Arabidopsis thaliana: one gene and its partners. The protein of the gene in region 1 interacts with the protein of each later gene in a pairwise test. Each region holds a gene or a part of one and is shown on either strand. Other genes may lie near its edges.

Region 1 (6,043 bases):
ATATATACGCAATGAGAATCACTGTTTCAATTTTTTTTATCTCAGTTAAAGTGGAGCTCTTTAGATTCTAATCAAAATTAACAGATTTGAGAAATTGAGCAATGAAATTGCAATCGAACATTGGAAAATTAAGTAGATTTCATAGCCGTGCCATAAATTAAAACCCTAATTCCCATATTACATAACCCTCAAAGATACCCAAAAGCATAAACCCTATTTCACATTCCAACTACTACTACTACTTCTCCTCCATTACAAAACCACATTCCAAATCTAAGAACTCGTAAACTTCGTAACCGCCTTAGTCCCTTCAGAAACAGCATGTTTCGCCAACTCTCCAGGCAACACAAGTCTCACCGCAGTCTGAATCTCCCTAGAAGTAATCGTCGGCTTCTTGTTGTACCTCGCAAGCTTCGAAGACTCACCAGCAAGTTTCTCAAAGATATCATTGATGAAACTGTTCATGATTCCCATGGCTTTGCTGGAGATTCCGATATCTGGATGAACTTGCTTCAACACCTTGAAGATGTAGATCTTGTATGTCTCAACGTTCTTCTTTGATCTCTTCTTCTTCTTGTCTCCGGCGCCGGCTGGTTCCTTCGGGAGTTTCTTTCCGGCTTTTGGTTTCTTCTCTGCCGCTGCTGCTGGTTCGGCTGCCGGAGTTTTCTCTGCCGGTTTCTTCTCCGCTGGTTTCTTATCTGCCTTCGCCATTTTCAAACTTTTCTAGGGAGTGAGTTTTTTTTGCTGTGATGGTTTTGATTTGATACTGTTATCTTCGAGAATTGTGTGTTTGTTTATATAAGAGAATAGGAAGAGATCTGATTAGTTAAGATACTGAAACGCGGATGCGTGACGTGGAGATATGAGTGCTGTTCGATGAAGGGTTTTGGTGAATGGATGGTTCAGATCTATTTTACTTTAATGCGCGAGTGATTTTAAATTTCTTTTTCGAAATATTGAAAAATTCGAATTTTCTGTTGCGCTTTTTGTTATCCGCCATAAGTTCATGAAGCGGCAAAGAGAGAAAAAGTTTTTGGCGTGGATAGCTGACGTGGTTACTTTTGATCCGTCTACCAATGAACGGCTATGATTTTACCGTATCTACAAAGTTGGTAACAACTTTTTCCTATCTAACATTTTTATGGAAATGAAGAACTAATGCATAATTATAAGTTTTCAACTCTTTCAAAATTCTTCAAAAATAACCAACTTTTTATAGATACAAATTTTGAATTTCTCTAAAATACAAACATTTAGTTCAGCTTAATAAGTTGGACTCATCTTAATAAGTTAATATGTAGTTGTATTTTAACAGAGTTAACGATGTTTCTTATATTTTCTTAAAATTCTGCATGATATATCAATAGATAGTTGTTGATTAATCTGAGAAGTGAGAGACGTATTAAACATAAATTTTGATTCTCACTGATTCCACATATTTCTGAGATTAGTGAAAATCTATGCATGATACCCATCAGAACCAAAATCATTTGTAACATTAACGTTAATGCACAAGTCACTATGATACAAATCTGTATATTATCTTATCTTTGTGACATTAATTTAGAGAATATAGAAACTCGTGAAAAGAAAAAGAACAAAAAAAAGAGAGGGAGTGAATGCACGTGTCATTTCTTGAGATATCGTCTATGAAATCTCTATAGACCTCAAACTTCCTATGTTCTTACTTTAGGGTGATTGTCGGCGGCTTGGACGACCCATGTGCCGGTACGTGGCCCAAAAACAAAGAAACGTGGCTCATCAGCTTGTCTTTCCTAGAAAATTTAGTCCCACAAGAGCAAACCCACTTTATATCCCCACAATGCTTCTCGTGTGTCCTAAGATCAGACAGAACCGAGAAATGCTTCACACTACATCTCCTGCACATATACATTTTGGGACAATGACTCCTCTTGTAATGATTCTTGGCGCAAATCACAGATTTCAACGGTTGAAACTTCTCGTGCCTCTGGTTCCATCTACACCCGTGTTGAGGACAGGAGTAGTAATGTTTCTTTAACGAGTATCCTCCTTTCTTGTCTTGGCTCGTTGGGCTGATCAAGGCCTCACGTGTCTTGTACTCATCCCCGTGCGCTCTCATGTGCATCCTTAGATTAGCGTCTCTCTTAAACCCTTTCCCACAAATCTGGCAGTAATGCGTGTATTTCGCTAGTAGGTCCGCTACGTCTAGCTCCAGTATATCGTAGCTCCCGGAACTTGGTTTAGAACGATGTTTATCTTTTTTAGGGTTTATGGTTTCGGTGTTGTACCAATCAAGATTCTGGTCGGGAAACGAGATCTGCCCTCTTTCTTGGACACCAAAAAGGTTGGTCGACTCTTGCACAAAATCATGACCCGGGTCGGTTTCTTGTCGGGAAAACTCCAAAACCATTGCATCTACGGTTTGATCATTATCGATATCGTTGTTGTTGTTGTTAGATCCGATTTGGAGTTGTTGGCAAGTATATAACATGGATGAAGCAGCCGTGATGATCTCTTGAACCAAACTTCCGATGTTAGCCACGGCCAAAGACGTTGACCCCGAGGATTGGTTAATGTTATTAGTAGATACCATGTAGAAGCTGACCAGAGATTGGATCTGATGGACTTTTTCATGTAAGGTAGATAGATTGTATAGAAGAGAGAGTGAAACGTCGTCGTCTTCCATTGATTTCGTCCCGGTCGTGGTCACGGGATTAACATAGATTTGTTTTGAGGAAGTACTGGTCTCCCCGGAGAAGCTAGAGATTGATCCTTCAACTTTCTTTGCAATATGCTCATCTCGATTCATCATATGTATATGCATGTATATGAAGAATCTAGCTTGAGTTTTGTTCTTATATTTTCTTTGGATTTTGTTGAATCTTTAAATTCTTTGTGGTATATTTGTTTCATATATATGCCAGACGGTCCAGACTCTAGAGAGATGCAATGAAGAAGACACCCTACCCTCTACCGTATAAAATACTCGCGAGTTGTGACATACATTCACACAAAATAACACACACAAACAAATACATGTCACACATATAGTAATTTATTTTTTCGTTTCACTTTATCAAACATCTTAAAATCGGAAAGATTATACTAAATTGAGTAAAATTTGAAAACTAAGCTATTGAACCTAACTATATTTTGAACCTTGCAGTTTATTAGTGATTTAAAATCCAAAAGATATTTTGATCCAAACAAAATATTGTAATTAAAAAAAAAAACATTCTAATTGATATATTATGTCAAGTAATGTTTTTTTTTCTTAATTTAGAAGTTAGAATTTAAGAATTTTATGTTTTCTAGAGACGGGACACACGTTAGGTTACATTCATCTGTTTTAGAAAGAAAAAAAAAATTAGCGGGGGTTGATGAACCCTTAATCAACCATTGGGCCAAAGGACTTCCACAACTATATTTGTTTATGTTTATGTTTGATTTTATTTAAAATCAGATATTTAATTAAAGATTTACAAAGATGTTTTAAATTAAAAAGACATCTAGACGTTTATAAATATACGATACATAGAAGTTGTAAATAATGTCTTTTTGTCAATAATGACAATAATATGCAATATACAGATTTTGATGAACCCGGATGCTGGCAAGAGAAAACGCTAGAAAAGTTCAATAGACTAAGTTTTTGTCGTCATGAATGATGTTTTTTCTTCTCTCTAAATGCATTTGTCATGTATATGAATTATTTACATTAGGTTGAAAATGGAATAATAGAAGTATGTGATGTGGTTAGGATTAACTTGGAAGTCAACTCGAGATAGCAAAAGCGACCATCCCCACATAAATCCTCCCCCGGATGAAACCTTAACTAGACTTTGTCAGCTACATCTTATGAGTTAAATAAACGAAGAAGGTCAATCCCGATGTAATTAAAGAATGATTAACCTAAGTCAAGTGTTAGTGTTCTTTCATGGCCTTTTCTTGTATTGTTCTATATACAATACGTTCTGTAACTGTCAAGCTCACATCTATATAATATCTTATGTCAAATCCAATCCTTTAAAAAAAAAGTTGCGACTACATTCAGTTCTCTTATCTGCTTACATGCACACATATTTTTTTTTCTTTTCATGCACACATATTTGTACACGCGTGCATATACGATTATATGATTGGATCTTACATGAAATGTTTATAATGTGGCCATCGGCATGAGTTGCAATTATATTAAATAAATATTGCTTATGCGTGCTCATTTTTTAATTTCGGAAGAAGTAGTTTTGTTGGTGACTAATCAAAATTTCTATGCAGTGATGATGATATGGGTGATCAATGCTGTTTCTTGGGGTTAGCTTTGGTGAGTTACGTTACTTTTTGTCCTTTAGAAGAAAAAAATGCCACGTTAGTTAACGCTTTTTAAAAAAAAGAAGTTGCTGCTACCATTACAGTGACAGTGTATTCCACATGCGATTCTAGTAGAGTTTTTTAGTTCTTTTTGCTGGGAACCAACCTGCAAACCACATTTGTAAATAAGACGTTATTAAACCAGACTTCACTAATATAGGCCAGTCGAACTGGCTCACCACAACATGGGAATGTAGGATGACATGAATCTCTGAATTACAAATGTCATGTATATAATTACCCTCAGTTTTAAAATGCTACACCAAACAAATTCAACTCAACTACTTTAATTTAGTTTTCAAGTTTCCAATATGTGACCAAAAAGTGAAAGCTAACAAAAACAAGACCTTTGCGTAGCTGGGAGTTCGAACTCCACTTTCCCTATTATTACGTACTTTGTCAAATAAAAAAAGAAAATATAAAGAAAAAAAATACACAAATTTCTTTTGGAAAAATTATGCTTGCTACCCAAGCTAACTATTTTTGAATGAGTTTTAAATTGCAATTTCAAATTCCTCCAATCTGATCACCGGGACGTGAGCAAGAACACGGGATCGGAGATGATTACTCGTCATCATAATCTGATGATCCATCGGAATCACCGGAGAAATAGAGGCGGCACGTGGTATCGCCAGAAGTTGGATTGTAATTTCTTTCTTCATGACCTTTGGCAATTTGTCTGTTGTAGTTTGCTCAATTACCCGTAAATTAGCAGAATTAAGTTGTAACCTGTAAAAACTAACAGTAATCAGACAATCCTTTAAAATATATATATTTATGTCGCCGGCCAAAACCTGTTTCTTGTTGGTAACGTTTGCCCATTCATTATTTACTATTATTAGGGTTTTAAAACTCAGATGATCACTTGTTCTTTAGATTCTGTTACCTAAACAGTAAAAGAAGAATTAATTCATATAAAAGATCCAAATCCTTGTAATCCTTCTCCGATAACACATTGCTCCTGGAATCTTTTTTTTTTTTTAATTTGTTTCATTTGAGGGTTCATCATCATCAATGGAGGTGTTTGGAGATAATAAGATGTTTTACATGAGAGACACATGGAGAGAAGGAACCATGATTTGTGACGTCTTACCTATCAACCCTAGCTCCAATGGTGTTTGGCCGCAACAAAAATTCTCAGATCCTAACATCAATGTTCATTTCTGGAATTACGCGTTTCCACACTTGCAAATGATATTTCTCATCATCTCTTTCTTATGGCAATTCTTACATTTCTTCCTTCGACGTCTTGGCATGATACGTTTCACTTCTCATATGCTTGTAAGTAATCGAAAATCTCGATTTCGTTTTCTTGTTATCTGGATTTGAAATTTGAGGTTTGTGTTGATCTTTGTTTGTAGACTGGTGTTCTTTTAAGCAAGTCTTTTCTAAAGGAGAATTCAGCAGCGAGAAGATTCTTTTCTACAGAGGATTACAAAGAGATTGTGTTTAGTCTCACTGCTGCTTGTTCTTACATGATGTTCTGGTTCTTGATGGGAGTTAAAATGGACACGGGTTTGATCCGAACCACAGGAAGAAAAGCTATCACCATTGGGCTCTCCTCTGTTTTACTTTCGACGTTAGTTTGTTCCGTTATCTTCTTCGGAAACTTAAGGGACGTTGGAACGAAAAACTCAGACCATACTCTCAATTCATTAGAGTATGTTGTGATTTACTCAATCCAATGTCT
Region 2 (6,732 bases), on another chromosome or scaffold:
TTCACCAATCATCCTCCTCTGCATTCTCCGATCAACCTTCTGATCGTCAAGTCCAAGCTCGTTTCCTCCTCTCTGCTTACAATCTCGCCGCTGCTTCTCCTTCTGATTTCCAGATTTTGCTCTCTCTCCAAGGTAGTGGCAGCAGCAATGGAGATCCTTCTTGTTCTGCGGGTGATTCTGCAGCTGCTGGGTTTCTTCATTCTCTTTTATCTTCCGTGTGTCCATCTCTTCCGGTGTCTATCTCGCCGGATCTCACGGCGGCTTTACTGTCAAAGGATAAAGTTAACGCCTTTGGTCTGATGGAACCGTGCTCTGTTTCGAATGAGAAAAGATCTGTGCGAGCTTATGGGATTTATCCAAAGACTTCGTTTTTCAATCATGATTGTCTTCCTAATGCTTGTAGATTCGATTATGTTGACTCTGCTTCTGATGGTAATACTGATATCATCATTAGGATGATTCATGATGTTCCTGAAGGTAGAGAAGTTTGTTTAAGCTACTTCCCTGTGAACATGAACTATTCGAGTAGACAAAAGAGATTGCTTGAGGATTACGGTTTTAAGTGTGACTGTGATCGGTGCAAAGTGGAATTTAGTTGGTCTGAAGGTGAGGAAGATGAGAATGAGATTATGGAAGAGATGGAGGATCAAGATGAACAAGAAGAGATGGAAGATTCAGTAGGTGAGAATGAAGAAGAAGTTTGTGGAAATGGTGTGGATGATGAATCTAATTTTCCTCATGCTTACTTTTTTGTGAGATATATGTGTGAGAAGGAGAATTGTTTTGGCACTCTAGCTCCGCTTCCCCCGAAGACTCATGATGCTTCGAGAGTTCTTGAATGTAATGTTTGTGGAAGCGTTAAGGAGGATGAAGTTGGCGTAAATCAATGAGGAAGGTTAGCTTAAAGAATTGATCAGCCGAAAATCTCAAGCTTGTTTGATGCAGCCAGACCCAAACAACAAGAGACTTGTCTTGGACCACATCGTTAATCAATGTTGTTTGTTGTTTGATGTTTACTTTTTTTTTTTTACTCAGTTTTGAAAATTCGATAAGTATTCTAGCTCTAGAATTCCATATCTAGGTTTTTTGTTTTCTCCTAGATAGTCTGAAGAATCAATTGTAATGGTCTGTGGAATTACACGGAAACAGTTTTGTTGTAATAATGGAGCATCAGTTTTCTTTGGTTGAATGAAAAATCATAATTTTTTTGACTTTTTAAGTTGAAAACTGCAGAATTACATGGCTTGATGATGTTTGCATTGTTAATCTCTATTACTCTTCAGTGTGCTCAGTGCCTGAAACCATAGCTTCCTTGATAGGGATCAATGTATTGGTAAACCAAATTGTGTAATAGTTTTTCCATAAAATAGATTCAATAGAACCAGTGTAACAAAAAATTATTAGGGGGCTCTGTTTTAAGGTCGCAACATGACGGTGACACAAACATTTTTTAGTGATTAACTTGTTCTCATTCTGTTCCAAGTTCAACAACACAAACTGAGTTTTTTGGCTTCTCTATCAGAGAACTAATGTGATTCTACAACACAACCTGCTCTGACTGACTTACTCTGCTATGTTCTGTTTTGCTCTGCTCTGTTCTCACTTCCACGTCTCTGTTTTTGTCATTGACATTTCGACTTGTAGGAACTTAAACATTTAGTGGATTGACTGGCAAGATTGATCCAACCTTTTCCAATCTTACATCCATAAATAAGTTGATATTTTTTCTGGTTTTTATTTGGCAAACACTAATGCACCCTAGGGTTCAATGAGATATATATATATTACACTAACACAAGTACACAACCAAATGTTATTGTAGGGACTTGTAATAATTTAACAGACCCAGATTCCTCACAAATTCTACCAAATTTGCGAGTCATTCAAGCTAGCAAACATTATCATCTATAAATAAATAGTTTTCTAAACATAGTAAAGAACATAATTTTAAAATTCGAAACGTTCCTGATAAATTTTCTTCTCACATTCTAAAGAACAAAAGTATAGATCAGCTCCGTCCTCGGGAAGCGTACGAACGAAAGGGAGCTTGCATCGAGAGTTGCACACGCAGCAAAGTGGTCTACAAATAGAGTGGTTGGATACAAATGTTCCTATCCATGTTAACGCTCCTGGCATGGAATATGCGTAAGTATCTATAACGCAGGAAATATGCAATGTGATCCCACACTCATTGCATGTATAGAACCATTTTTCTGGGTTCACAGTTGTTTCGCATGCTTCACACCAATATTTGCCAGCCACGCCCATTTCGCCATAAGATAAGAAGAGAGGATGATCGTCGTACCTATGCCTCATTACCTTTTGCGGTAAAATAGCACACTTGAAGCACAAACCAAATTCACAATCATCGCAACTCAATTTCCCGTCTCCATCACACTCACTACAACGTTTGGAGTGATCTGTAGAGTAGTGTAAAGGATGTTGATGGCTTTTGTGCTCAAATGGTTCTGTAACTGTAGCGCACCGTACATCTATCCTTAATTCCTTAGATTCATAGGAGAAACCGGTGAACAGTTGACGGCAAATACTACACCTATGTAACAAGTAGGTGCCATAATTTGGGGATAGTTCGAGTGGCTGGTTGTGGCACACATGACGTTTCTTTAAAGGAAGCTTGGCACATTTTTCGTGGATTATGAAATCGCATCTCTTTCTCGCGCAAGCGTAGAACGGTTCTGAACAAATCTGGAAGACACATGCGGTACAAACTACACTTTCTGGTAGATTCCAGCCACGGTAAATTCGTAAGTTATGCTTATGGCCGTAATGGTCTATCGTGTTGTCATCAATCACCTTGAATGGCGCAGTTTCCTCTTCTTCGGGTGTCCCTTCCAGTTCGATCATGTCCCATACATCCCTTCTGGTTGCGCATCTTGAATGAACAAAATAATCAAAACATTTGGAGCAAGAATAAGCCCCGTAGAACCCATCCACATTTTTACGACAAACTCTGCATTTCCCGTCTCCATGTCCGAGGCGAGGGGTGTAAGAGATGCGGTGGTCGTGGCGGTTGATGTTTATGACGCGAGGTAGATCGATACATTCCCGATGAATCATGAAATTGCACTGAAGACAGAAATAAGGGCTACGGTCACCTAGCGTCCCACAAGCATTGCAAGTGAAGTCAATGCGTCTTGGAACAAGGTGAAGTTGATGTTCATGGGTCCTCGGGCTTTTAACAAGAACCGGTGGTGGGTTTTTCATACATGATCTGCATATGCTAAAATTACAAACACCACAGTGGTGAAGCTGGCGATGGATTCCATCAAACTCCTCGCGGCAAAGAAGACATTTCTTGTCGGCGTAACCAGGGACTTCATATCTAAGTGACTTGAGTGGGTGTTGGGGGTGAGAAGTGTGGTATGCTTCTGGACTATTATGATCGATACAATCCAGACTGATGAAAAACTCGCATTGATGACATGTGTAGAAATGTTTCCAGCTATTATGTTGATGGCCACACCCTTTGCAATCTCTGAGTGTTTCGTGCGCTTCATGGGAGAGTTGGAGTGGATGCTCGTGTAGGTAGGAGTTTTCAGCAAGAACAAGTAGGGCTGGTCTCCTCGCGCAAATCAAATCCAACTGGAAATCACATTTGTTACAGCGATAACCGACACTGAAAAATTCTCCACAGAAACTACAATTAGAAACTCTGGTATGTAGGAGGATCAGCTTGAGAGGATGGACTGGATGGTAAGGGTGGTCGATTTCTGGTAACGGCTTGGCGCACTCTTCATGGAACACAACATCACATCCCGGCTCATTGCATCGGTGTCCTCCGTAAATGTAACTGCAACCGGGATGTTTGGAAATGAAGCTTGTATTATCTTCATCGGTCGAGTAGCATCCTTTACACTTGGTGAACTCGAAGCGTGTAAAAGGTATCAACGGATGCTCATGAAATGGTAACAATTTTTCAAGGCGGGATGCTTCTTCGTCCATGCCTTCATTAAACAAAGCTAGAAAGTTTTCCATGGTGATGTTTTCTTACTTCCACCAAAACACAAAGCTCTTCTCTTCTGCACTAGTTTCAGACTTGGTTTCTTGTTTTTCTCTCTTTCTTTTCTTTCAGGATTTTTTTTCAAGTGGTTTATCATTTTCAGACTTTGCAAATAGTTAATATGAATTCGCACCACAGAAATGATTCTTTTCATTACTGAGATTGAGACCACATGTGTTGGCTTCATCCTTGCATTATTTAATTAACTCAGACCACATATGTTGACTCTGCAACTATTGTGTCCGGCCAAAACATAAATAATTGAATGAATACAAAAAAGGTTTTTTCTTGCATTAAATGGAATAGAAGTTTATGGATAGAATAGTTTAGAATTTAAATGGATGGAACTGTACATTTTGTGGAAAAAACAGTTTGAAGTCTGAACCACACAACTCCTTGGCCAAGTAGCTTTGGAGGTAGACTTTGCTGCATTCAAGTCTCTGAAACCAAAGTTTTATTATTGTATTGCATCCACTAACTTTTATGTAATTTCAGACCAAAAGATTTGTATTTTTGTCTTTAAGACCAGGATTGGGCCAATCTTTGTTTTTTAATTTTTATACAGCCAAAAGTAAGTTCTATTTCCACCATCAGATTGTATAACCCATTTGAATAACACTATAAAGTTAACATATATATACCATCTGAAACATTCGAAGAATCATTTGTCAAATCACATGTATTCAAATCACTCAGAGCAAATTTTGATTAATAAAGAAGTTAAAAAGACATACTGCGTATACATGAGCTGCTCTTGCTTTAGCACAAAACAGAGACCAGATTCCAGTTCCAGCTCTAATGTCAAGAAACTTGTTCTTTTAAATATCCTGTTAAGAAATTCTGTTTCTAAGATCATTGAGACTGCTGCTGACTGGATTCAAAAGATTGATAATTGTGGAAAAAGCGCATAAGCTTGAGGTTAAAAAAAAACTATTGTAAAACATACTTTTGGAATTAAATGGTACAAAGTTTTTCTTCATTAAAACATGCCTTACCAATCACTACTAGAGTAGTTATTAGAGCGGTTGAAATTATAATAACAGTTTAAAGAACAAATGTATAAAACAACATCGGCTTTGGAAACGACCTTAACAATGGAAGGAAGCTTGCATTGAGAGTTACACACATAGCAAAATGGTCTACACATAGAGGTGTTGGATACCACCAAGTCTTCCTCCCATCCTATTTTGGAACCTGGCATATAATATGAGAAGTCTCCCACAACGCATGAAATATGCAATATGACACCACAATCATTGCATGTATAGAACCATTTCTTCGAATTCACTTTTGTTTCACATGCTTCACACCAGTATTCTCCATCCACACTACTTTCACCACACGACAAGTAAAGAGGATGATCGTCGTATCTATGCCACTTTACTTTCTGCGGTAAAAGAGCACACTTGAAGTCCAAACTATAGTCACACTCATCACAGCTAAAGCTTCCTATATCTAGATCCATGTTTTTGCCACATTCCGTACAAGACTTAGAACTACGTTTCGAAAAGTATAAGGGATGTTGATGGCTTTGGTGCACCAATGGTTCTCGAATTGAACCACATCGTACATCTAGAGTAACCATACGAGTAAGACACTCGTACCTGAAACCGGTGAAACTTTGCCAACAAAGATCACATGAAGTTTCGTCTGAAGTATCATTTGTGACTAGGGTAAATGGTAGGTTGTCGCAAACATGCCGTTTCTTCCGAGGCAGGTTAGCACATTTTTGGTGGAGAATGAAGTCACAATTCTCGCAACTGTAGAACGCATCTGAACAGATCTGGAAGACACATGCTTTACATAGTGTGCTTTCATGGAGAATCCTCCCATCCTTGTTGATTACTAAGTTATGATCATGGCTAAAATGTTTGATCGTGTTATCATCAATCACCTCGAATGGCGCATCTTCCTCTGGCTCTTCGGGTGTCCCTTCTAGCTCTATCATGTCCCATACATCCTCGTCCGTTGCGCATCTCGAGTGAACAACATAGTTAGAACATTTTGAGCAAGAATAACCCCCGTAGAAGCCATCAACCTTTTTACGACAAACCCCGCATGTATTTTGCCCATGTCCAAGACGACGAGTGTAGGAGATGCGATGATCGTGGCGGTTGATGTTTATGACGCGGGGCAAATCGATACACTCCCAATGAATCATGAAGTTGCATTGAAGACAGAAATAAGGGCTTTGATCAGCTTGAGTCCCGCAAGCATTGCAAGTGAAACCGAGAGGTTTTGAAAGAAGATAAAGTTGATGCTCATGGGTGGTCGGGCTTACAACACTAAGCGGCGGTGGGTTTTCCATACAGCCGCCACATATGGTAAAGTTACAAACATCACAGTGGTGAATTCGTCCGTCAAACTTATTCCCGCAAAGAAGACACTTGTTGTCGGCGTAATCGGGTGCTTCTTCACATCTAAGGAGCTTGAGTGGGTGTTGGGGGTGTAAAACGTGGCTAGCTTGTGGAAAAAGTTTGGTACACTCCACATGAAAGCGTAAATCGCATTTATTACATTTGTAATGAACAGCATCGAAAACTCCCCATTTGCATGTTTTGCAAAGTTGCACAAAACCGTCACGGGTTCCATCAGAGAGCTGAATCGGATGCTCGTGGACAGTGGATTCTTCAAGAATAAATTCCAAAGGCAACCTCGTCGCGCAACGAAAATCCAACTTGAAGTCACAAATCGAACAAAGATAACCATTT
Region 3 (6,180 bases), on another chromosome or scaffold:
ATTATAAATTTTTCTAAACCCCAAAGCAAAAATGAGGTATTTGTACAAGCCAGCAGGATAAAGCATGTCTTGTCTCCAAGACACAACCATACGTTATCTCTTAATCTATCATTTATATTTAACGATTTTAACCAGCTTTTACTATTGAACTGCATTGCATGAATGATGAAATTACATCATATATAGGTTCTAGCGAAATCATGTATGGCACATTGCAATTATGATCTATTTAAAATTTAGTATGTCCTTTGAGAGAATGTTAAAACAAAAATCGATATCAGTGGTTTTCATTTTTTTCTCTTTCTATTTTTTAGTTGGGACAGATGATGTCAACTATTACATATTGATCACTTTTTCCACATTACCAAAAACTTTAAAGTTTAGATATCTCATCTTCAACAACAACAACTAAACTAAAGTAGACATGAAGATGGTCTACATCACATCATAATCAAATTAATCACCCCTATATTTCTAAAACACGACACAAATACATGCATTTAGTACTCCTTTCTTCAAAAAAAAAAAAAAAAAACAGTTATCTTCAATCAGACCTAATGTTCTCTATTATATTCCTACTTTTGATTTGACATATATTTTTCAGAAACTACAACATCTTTTTTTTCCAATAAGCCTTAATTATATATTAGTTAAGTGATAGTGGTCGATTTATCATTGTTTCAATGACTTGAAATAATGAATCAAATTTCACTGAACACACTCTTTTCTTTGATCTTGTAGAAAATTTATCAATTCGAAAAATTAAATGAAAGTTCAATCTAACCTTATATATCTAAGTGTACGACTTTGTATTGCATTATGAACACAAATCGTAGATACTAGATAATGATTTTGAAGAATATAAATAAATAAATATTAGTTTACACAAATGAATAACGTTGGAAACTTGTTGCGAGACTAAAATTTAAAAATATATCGTTTATTGAGGTTTTAATTATATTATGATCAAGACATAATCATGATGAACAAGCCCCACATTTTCAATTTACACATAAATGTTTTAATTAGAACTCTTTTCTATTTGCGTTTACAAACATCTAAAATCCTCAAAACCTGATTATAATGTGACTTAACTTTCAACATGAAACTCATAAACAGAGCAGAAGAAAAAGCAGAGAAGCATAACAAACAATCACAACACCAAACAAAAGAAGCAAGAGTCTGCAGAGCTTTGTGTTGCAGCAACAAAGCAAGACTCAGCATTTCTTCTTCTTCCTCGGTGGAAGCAGACAAGAGTTCAAGATTTTCAGACCATCACGGTTCGCTCTCTAGTCTAGCACACTACATGGTTCAGGAGAAGCTAGAGCAGATGATCAGAGAGACACAAGAAGCCACACATCAAGAGAAGATAAGACAACAAAAGATGAGAAGAAGAAGAAGAAGAAGTGAGGGTAGTATCAGTAGCACTAAGTTCATTGTCATGATGGCGATGGAGAAATGTTCTTTTGATCCAAGAAAGGATTTTAGAGACTCTATGGTTGAGATGATTGTAGCAAACAAGATCAAAGAAGCAGATGAACTTAGAAGCCTCTTGGAGTACTATCTATCGATGAATCCTCGCGAATATCGGTCTGCCATTCTCGAGATCTTTTACGAGGTTTGTGCTGATTTGTTTCGTAGCTAAGAGTGAACAAAGATCAGTTGTTTCTTTCAAATGTTTGTGTAAGATACCTGGTTTGTAACAAACCGGTTTTCTAAGTAATAAATAGATTTACCACCATTCATAAACCAAAAATAACTGAAATTAAAATTACAGAACTAGATACAAATTTTGGTTTCAATTTGGTATCCCCTTTGTAAACTCAAACCAGACCAAAATGCTGACAACCTGATCCAATCCGAGTCAAAAGTTCGAACTGAAACTAAACCGGAAAACCGAATGCCATACAGAATGCAAACCCTCCTAGTATACCAAATTTGAACCAATGCTAAGTGTTGCTGTTGCAAACCCATAACTGGCCTGTTCAAGTATGTAGTTATGTATATGTATTGTAGTACAGTATACCAAGAGTAACATCCATTATAAGTTTATAACTCTCCAACAGGTAAAGAAGCTATATAACAGTTACAACACTAGTAAACATAGACAGATGGGTCTATACTTGTATATATGTTACTATGGATGTGATGAGAGTTATGATGATTTAAGGGTTTAAGAGAGAGCTTCCTTCTTTGATGAGCACATAGACGCTTCCACCATCGCCTCTCGAGATCCGAAGGTCCTTGTCGAGATAAGTTGTGAGCAGCCACGACTGCGTGTTGTCACTAGGCAGAGAAAACTTCAATGGTGGTTGGTTTGAAATGGTTCTAGCCACTGAAGAAGCAGTGTCTTGGACTGATGTAAGTAAACCTTTAATGGGATTGAGATCGATTTTCTGACCAAGAACCTCCACGGATTCCGGTATTTCAATCGAATCCGTTAGCTGAGGAGTCCCTATAACACCTTGCTCGAACTTAATCTACAACAAACAAAACAAAAAAAACAATTAGGTTATGTAACATTAGCATTTGCCATTTGTGGTTTTAGGGGATGATTCTTGATTTACCTGGACACGTTTAGGACTTCGGATTTCAAACTTAGCGTTGGTGCTAAACGACGTTGTGGAAAACGGACCAGCGAACCGGACAGAGTTTTGAACGGTGAAGCTATCGGAATCAATGGTTTGTGAGATCTCATCCACTTTAACCAACGGTTCAATTCTTCGTGAGAGCAATGGGAACAACCCCACGAACGACGTGTAGCTTCACGAGATAAACACTTAAAAACTAAGTTCTTGATTCATAACAATAACGGCTAAAAATAAACGAAGGCTCATAACTACACACAGAATCATAATCCAAATTCATAATTAAATCTTCTTTGTAACCACAACTTGCTTTTCACTATCAAAATCAAATCATTCATAACGGAACTAAACAGTTTTCACCGGGAAATTAAACTTCCACCGGTAAGTTTAAAGTATCATTAACTTAATTGGTAAAGATCCTAGACGAAGCTTAGAGATCACCGGTTTGAGTAATGTTTGGGACAAAACTAATATTACATGCCGTGCCTAGGAGAGTATCAGAACTAAAAGTACTTACGCGAGGATCCATTTGCCGTTGAGGAGAAACAGAGCTTCGTTAGGAGCTGGAGTAGGGTTCTTAGACTCGAGCTGTGTGATGAGCTCGCTGATCTCAGCTCTCGTATCACTCGATACGCTTAAACCTCGATCTGTTCCGTACAACGAATCCGCTAGTGATCTCTTTAGCCTCTCCGTCTCCTCCACGGATTCGATTGCTTTATCTGCTACCGATACGGTTGAAGATGAGGCAAATACTCTCTCCACTCCATCTTGACCCCATTCGTCGTCGATGTCCGTCGCTCGGATTTTGAAATCTGGCCGATGAACAGAGACTCCAATCTCCGATCGCCGATTTATTGAGTTAATCGGTAGTAGGATCGGAGATTTCGATTGGTGTTTAGTGTTTGATGAGCTTGGATTTAGGGTTTTGCAGGGAAACTGGGTGAACAATGGTACCGTCGCCATTTTTGTGTTTGTTCTTCAGAGAAACCTCACGAATTAGGATTTTATAACCGTTGAGCTGGACTGTAAATGACGTATATACCCTTATCTGGTACACTTTCTTATGAACATATAAGTCAAGATCCAAGGGATAGAATAGGTATTTGGAATAGAACAAATGAGGTAAGCTAAGGTGGGATTTTGACACGTGGATGGTTAAAGATCATTGTTTTAAGAATCGACCTGGACTCGTGTGAAGTTGCCGACTTTATGAAAAATTCATAAAATTTGTGGAAGATTTTATTTTCTTCAATAGGGAAACAATTTGGTTTAATTTGGTTTTTGTCCCATTATTTGTGTGGGGGAGAATTTGTTTGGGTTTTCTACGAGAGTTAGGCCATGCAATGCAAATGGCATGATGGATCTAGAATCTTCGGACGTGTACTATACTTTTTGGCCGGTTTTGGTGATCTTCGATCTTCAGTTTTCTGAACGGTGAAGATTCTCTCCAATGCAAAATATCTAAACGGCGATTAATCAACAGTGTAATAAGTAGTTGGACTAAATGGGCCTGGATAGTATATTTAATGGGCCTTTATTAACAAAGAAGACCCATTAAAAATTTAAAATGAATACAATAGTTTTGTATCCAATAGACCAATAGGTCCAAAACGTTCTTAAAGGGAGAAAAATTAGCTGGTAAAATAATAGTACCGGTGTTTGTTCAAAAAAAATAATAATAATAATACTGGGCAGGTGTAGATATTCGGGTACTCATATCTGTTCGGTTCTTTTTTTTTTTGAGTATCGGATCTATTTAGGTATGAAGTTAAAAACCATTCATGTATTCTAAAATTTTGGTTCGGTTTTGGTTTGAGTTTGGATCGATTTAGTTATTTTAGTAAGAATTGAAAAATAATCAAAAATACTCAAAATATTTTTGGGTTCAGGTCGAGTTCGAGTTTTTTACTCATCTATACCTAAATCTAACCGAGATGCCTGATTAGTTTATCCAAAAATATATTAGTTATATTTTACCAAAATATAACCAAATGTAACCAAAATACTTAAATTACTTAGAAAACTATAGGGTGAGTTAAAAATATATACATGGATAAACAGAATATTAAGAATTTATACATAAAAATATGTTATTTACGTAAATAGGAAAGAGAAATAAAATATAAACCAAAAAATATCCTTCCGGTTTAGATTAATTACAAAAATGCCATTGATTCAAAATACTTTAATATTTAATTGGGAGATTTGCAAAACTGCCCTTATTCTAATAACCTTTTGTAAAAATGTCCTTTCCTGAAGGCCATTTTTAAAACTACCCTTTCTAATATGGCAAATGACTGTCTTACCCTTACTGAATGATTAGGTTTCACATTCGTTTCACAATACAATTCGTTTTGGCACAAACTTCTTCGTTTTGGCCAACGAATTTTCCTATCCGATTTCACTCAAAATCGCCGGCGAATTTCCTCTCCGATTTCACTCAAAATTGCCGACGAATTTCCTCTCCGATTTCACTCAAAATCGCCAACGAATTTCCTCTCCGATTTCACTCAAAATCGCCGACAAATTTTCTCTCCGAGAAACCCCAAAATCGCTGACGAATTTCCTCTCCGATAAATCTGTTCTTCGCTGACGGATTCAGATCATTTCTCTACGACGCAAACAATCCCCAGAGATATCGATAGATCCGACGGTAACCGTTTTTATAATCGATTTTATAGTCGATTTTATAGTAGATCTGACGATGTTTCATAACATGTTTTGCAGATGGATTCAGAGAGTGAAATCCTTACATTGCCTGAACAGATCTACAGAGAAGGTGAGGAATCTATTGCACTGGGAACCGTTCAACAATACTTGGATTGGAATTTAGTTAGTAAAGTAGAGGAAGCTTTAGGCGAGTGTTTATTTCAGAAGATTAGAAGTTCGTTTCTTGGTCTTCTAGTTGAATTGGGACCAAAAATGAAGGCTAAGAAGGGAATCAGATTTTCTGGGAAAATCTTTCACTATCTCATGCAGCAGAGAGTGAAAACAAAAGGATCAACTCTTTGGTTTAGAGTTGATTCTCAACCTATCTGTTTCTCCTTGAGAGAGTTCTATCTCACAACAGGTAATAAAGTTTTACAATCGTTTTTAAAGCTTAATTAACTGTCGTAGAATGATTTACAAGGCATTTGCATAACTGTTTGCGTAGTTTACAATCATTTTTAAAACATAAGTAAGTGTTATAGATAATTTACAAGGGATTTTAAAAGCTTTTAAAAGGGGTTTACTTCATTAACAATTATTTAAGAAGCATAAGTTAGTGGCAGATAATGATTTACAAGGGATTTTAAAAAGGGTATGCATGGTTTACAACCGTTTTTAGGCATAAGTAACTAACATAGAATAATTTACAAGGGATTTTAAAAGCTTAAAGAAGTGTTAAACACGTTTACATGGGATTTTAAAAGCATAAGTAAGTGTCTTAAAACGATTTACAAGGGATTTTAGAAGTGTTTGCATGGTTTACAATCGATTTTAAAACATAAGTAAGTGGGATAGAATAATTTACAAGGGATTTTAAAATCTTTTCTAAGGGTTAAACATGATTTACAATCGTTTTTTAAGCATAAGTAAGTTGAATAGAATG

The links.
Region 2: the proteins of AT5G22890 (region 1) and AT2G19650 interact in a two-hybrid assay, tested with the Arabidopsis thaliana proteins (one large-scale study listed by BioGRID).
Region 3: the proteins of AT5G22890 (region 1) and FIB interact in a two-hybrid assay, tested with the Arabidopsis thaliana proteins (one large-scale study listed by BioGRID).

Annotation. Positions count from the first base shown.
Region 1 is NC_003076.8:7,651,857-7,657,899, forward strand, and holds AT5G22890 (C2H2 and C2HC zinc fingers superfamily protein), read right to left. Parts: upstream 2,980-6,043; 5' UTR 2,807-2,979; coding exon 1,685-2,806; 3' UTR 1,401-1,684; downstream 1-1,400. Other genes in the region: HTB2 (histone B2), read right to left, coding at 274-711; CHX3 (cation/H+ exchanger 3), read left to right, coding at 5,368-5,634, 5,715-6,043. UniProt on the Arabidopsis thaliana protein: Probable transcription factor. Together with STOP1, plays a critical role in tolerance to major stress factors in acid soils such as proton H(+) and aluminum ion Al(3+). Required for the expression of genes in response to acidic stress (e.g.
Region 2 is NC_003071.7:8,491,708-8,498,439, forward strand, and holds AT2G19650 (Cysteine/Histidine-rich C1 domain family protein), read right to left. Parts: upstream 4,186-6,732; 5' UTR 3,997-4,185; coding exon 1,948-3,996; 3' UTR 1,762-1,947; downstream 1-1,761. Other genes in the region: ASHR2 (ASH1-related protein 2), read left to right, coding at 1-890; AT2G19660 (Cysteine/Histidine-rich C1 domain family protein), read right to left, coding at 5,013-6,732.
Region 3 is NC_003075.7:1,929,532-1,935,711, reverse strand, and holds FIB (fibrillin), read right to left. Parts: upstream 3,830-6,180; 5' UTR 3,552-3,829; coding exon 3,106-3,551; intron 2,764-3,105; coding exon 2,568-2,763; intron 2,481-2,567; coding exon 2,166-2,480; 3' UTR 1,762-2,165; downstream 1-1,761. Other genes in the region: AT4G04025 (transcription repressor), read left to right, coding at 1,103-1,618, 1,689-1,703. UniProt on the Arabidopsis thaliana protein: Probably involved in light/cold stress-related jasmonate (JA) biosynthesis. Contributes to the protection of photosystem II (PSII) against light stress.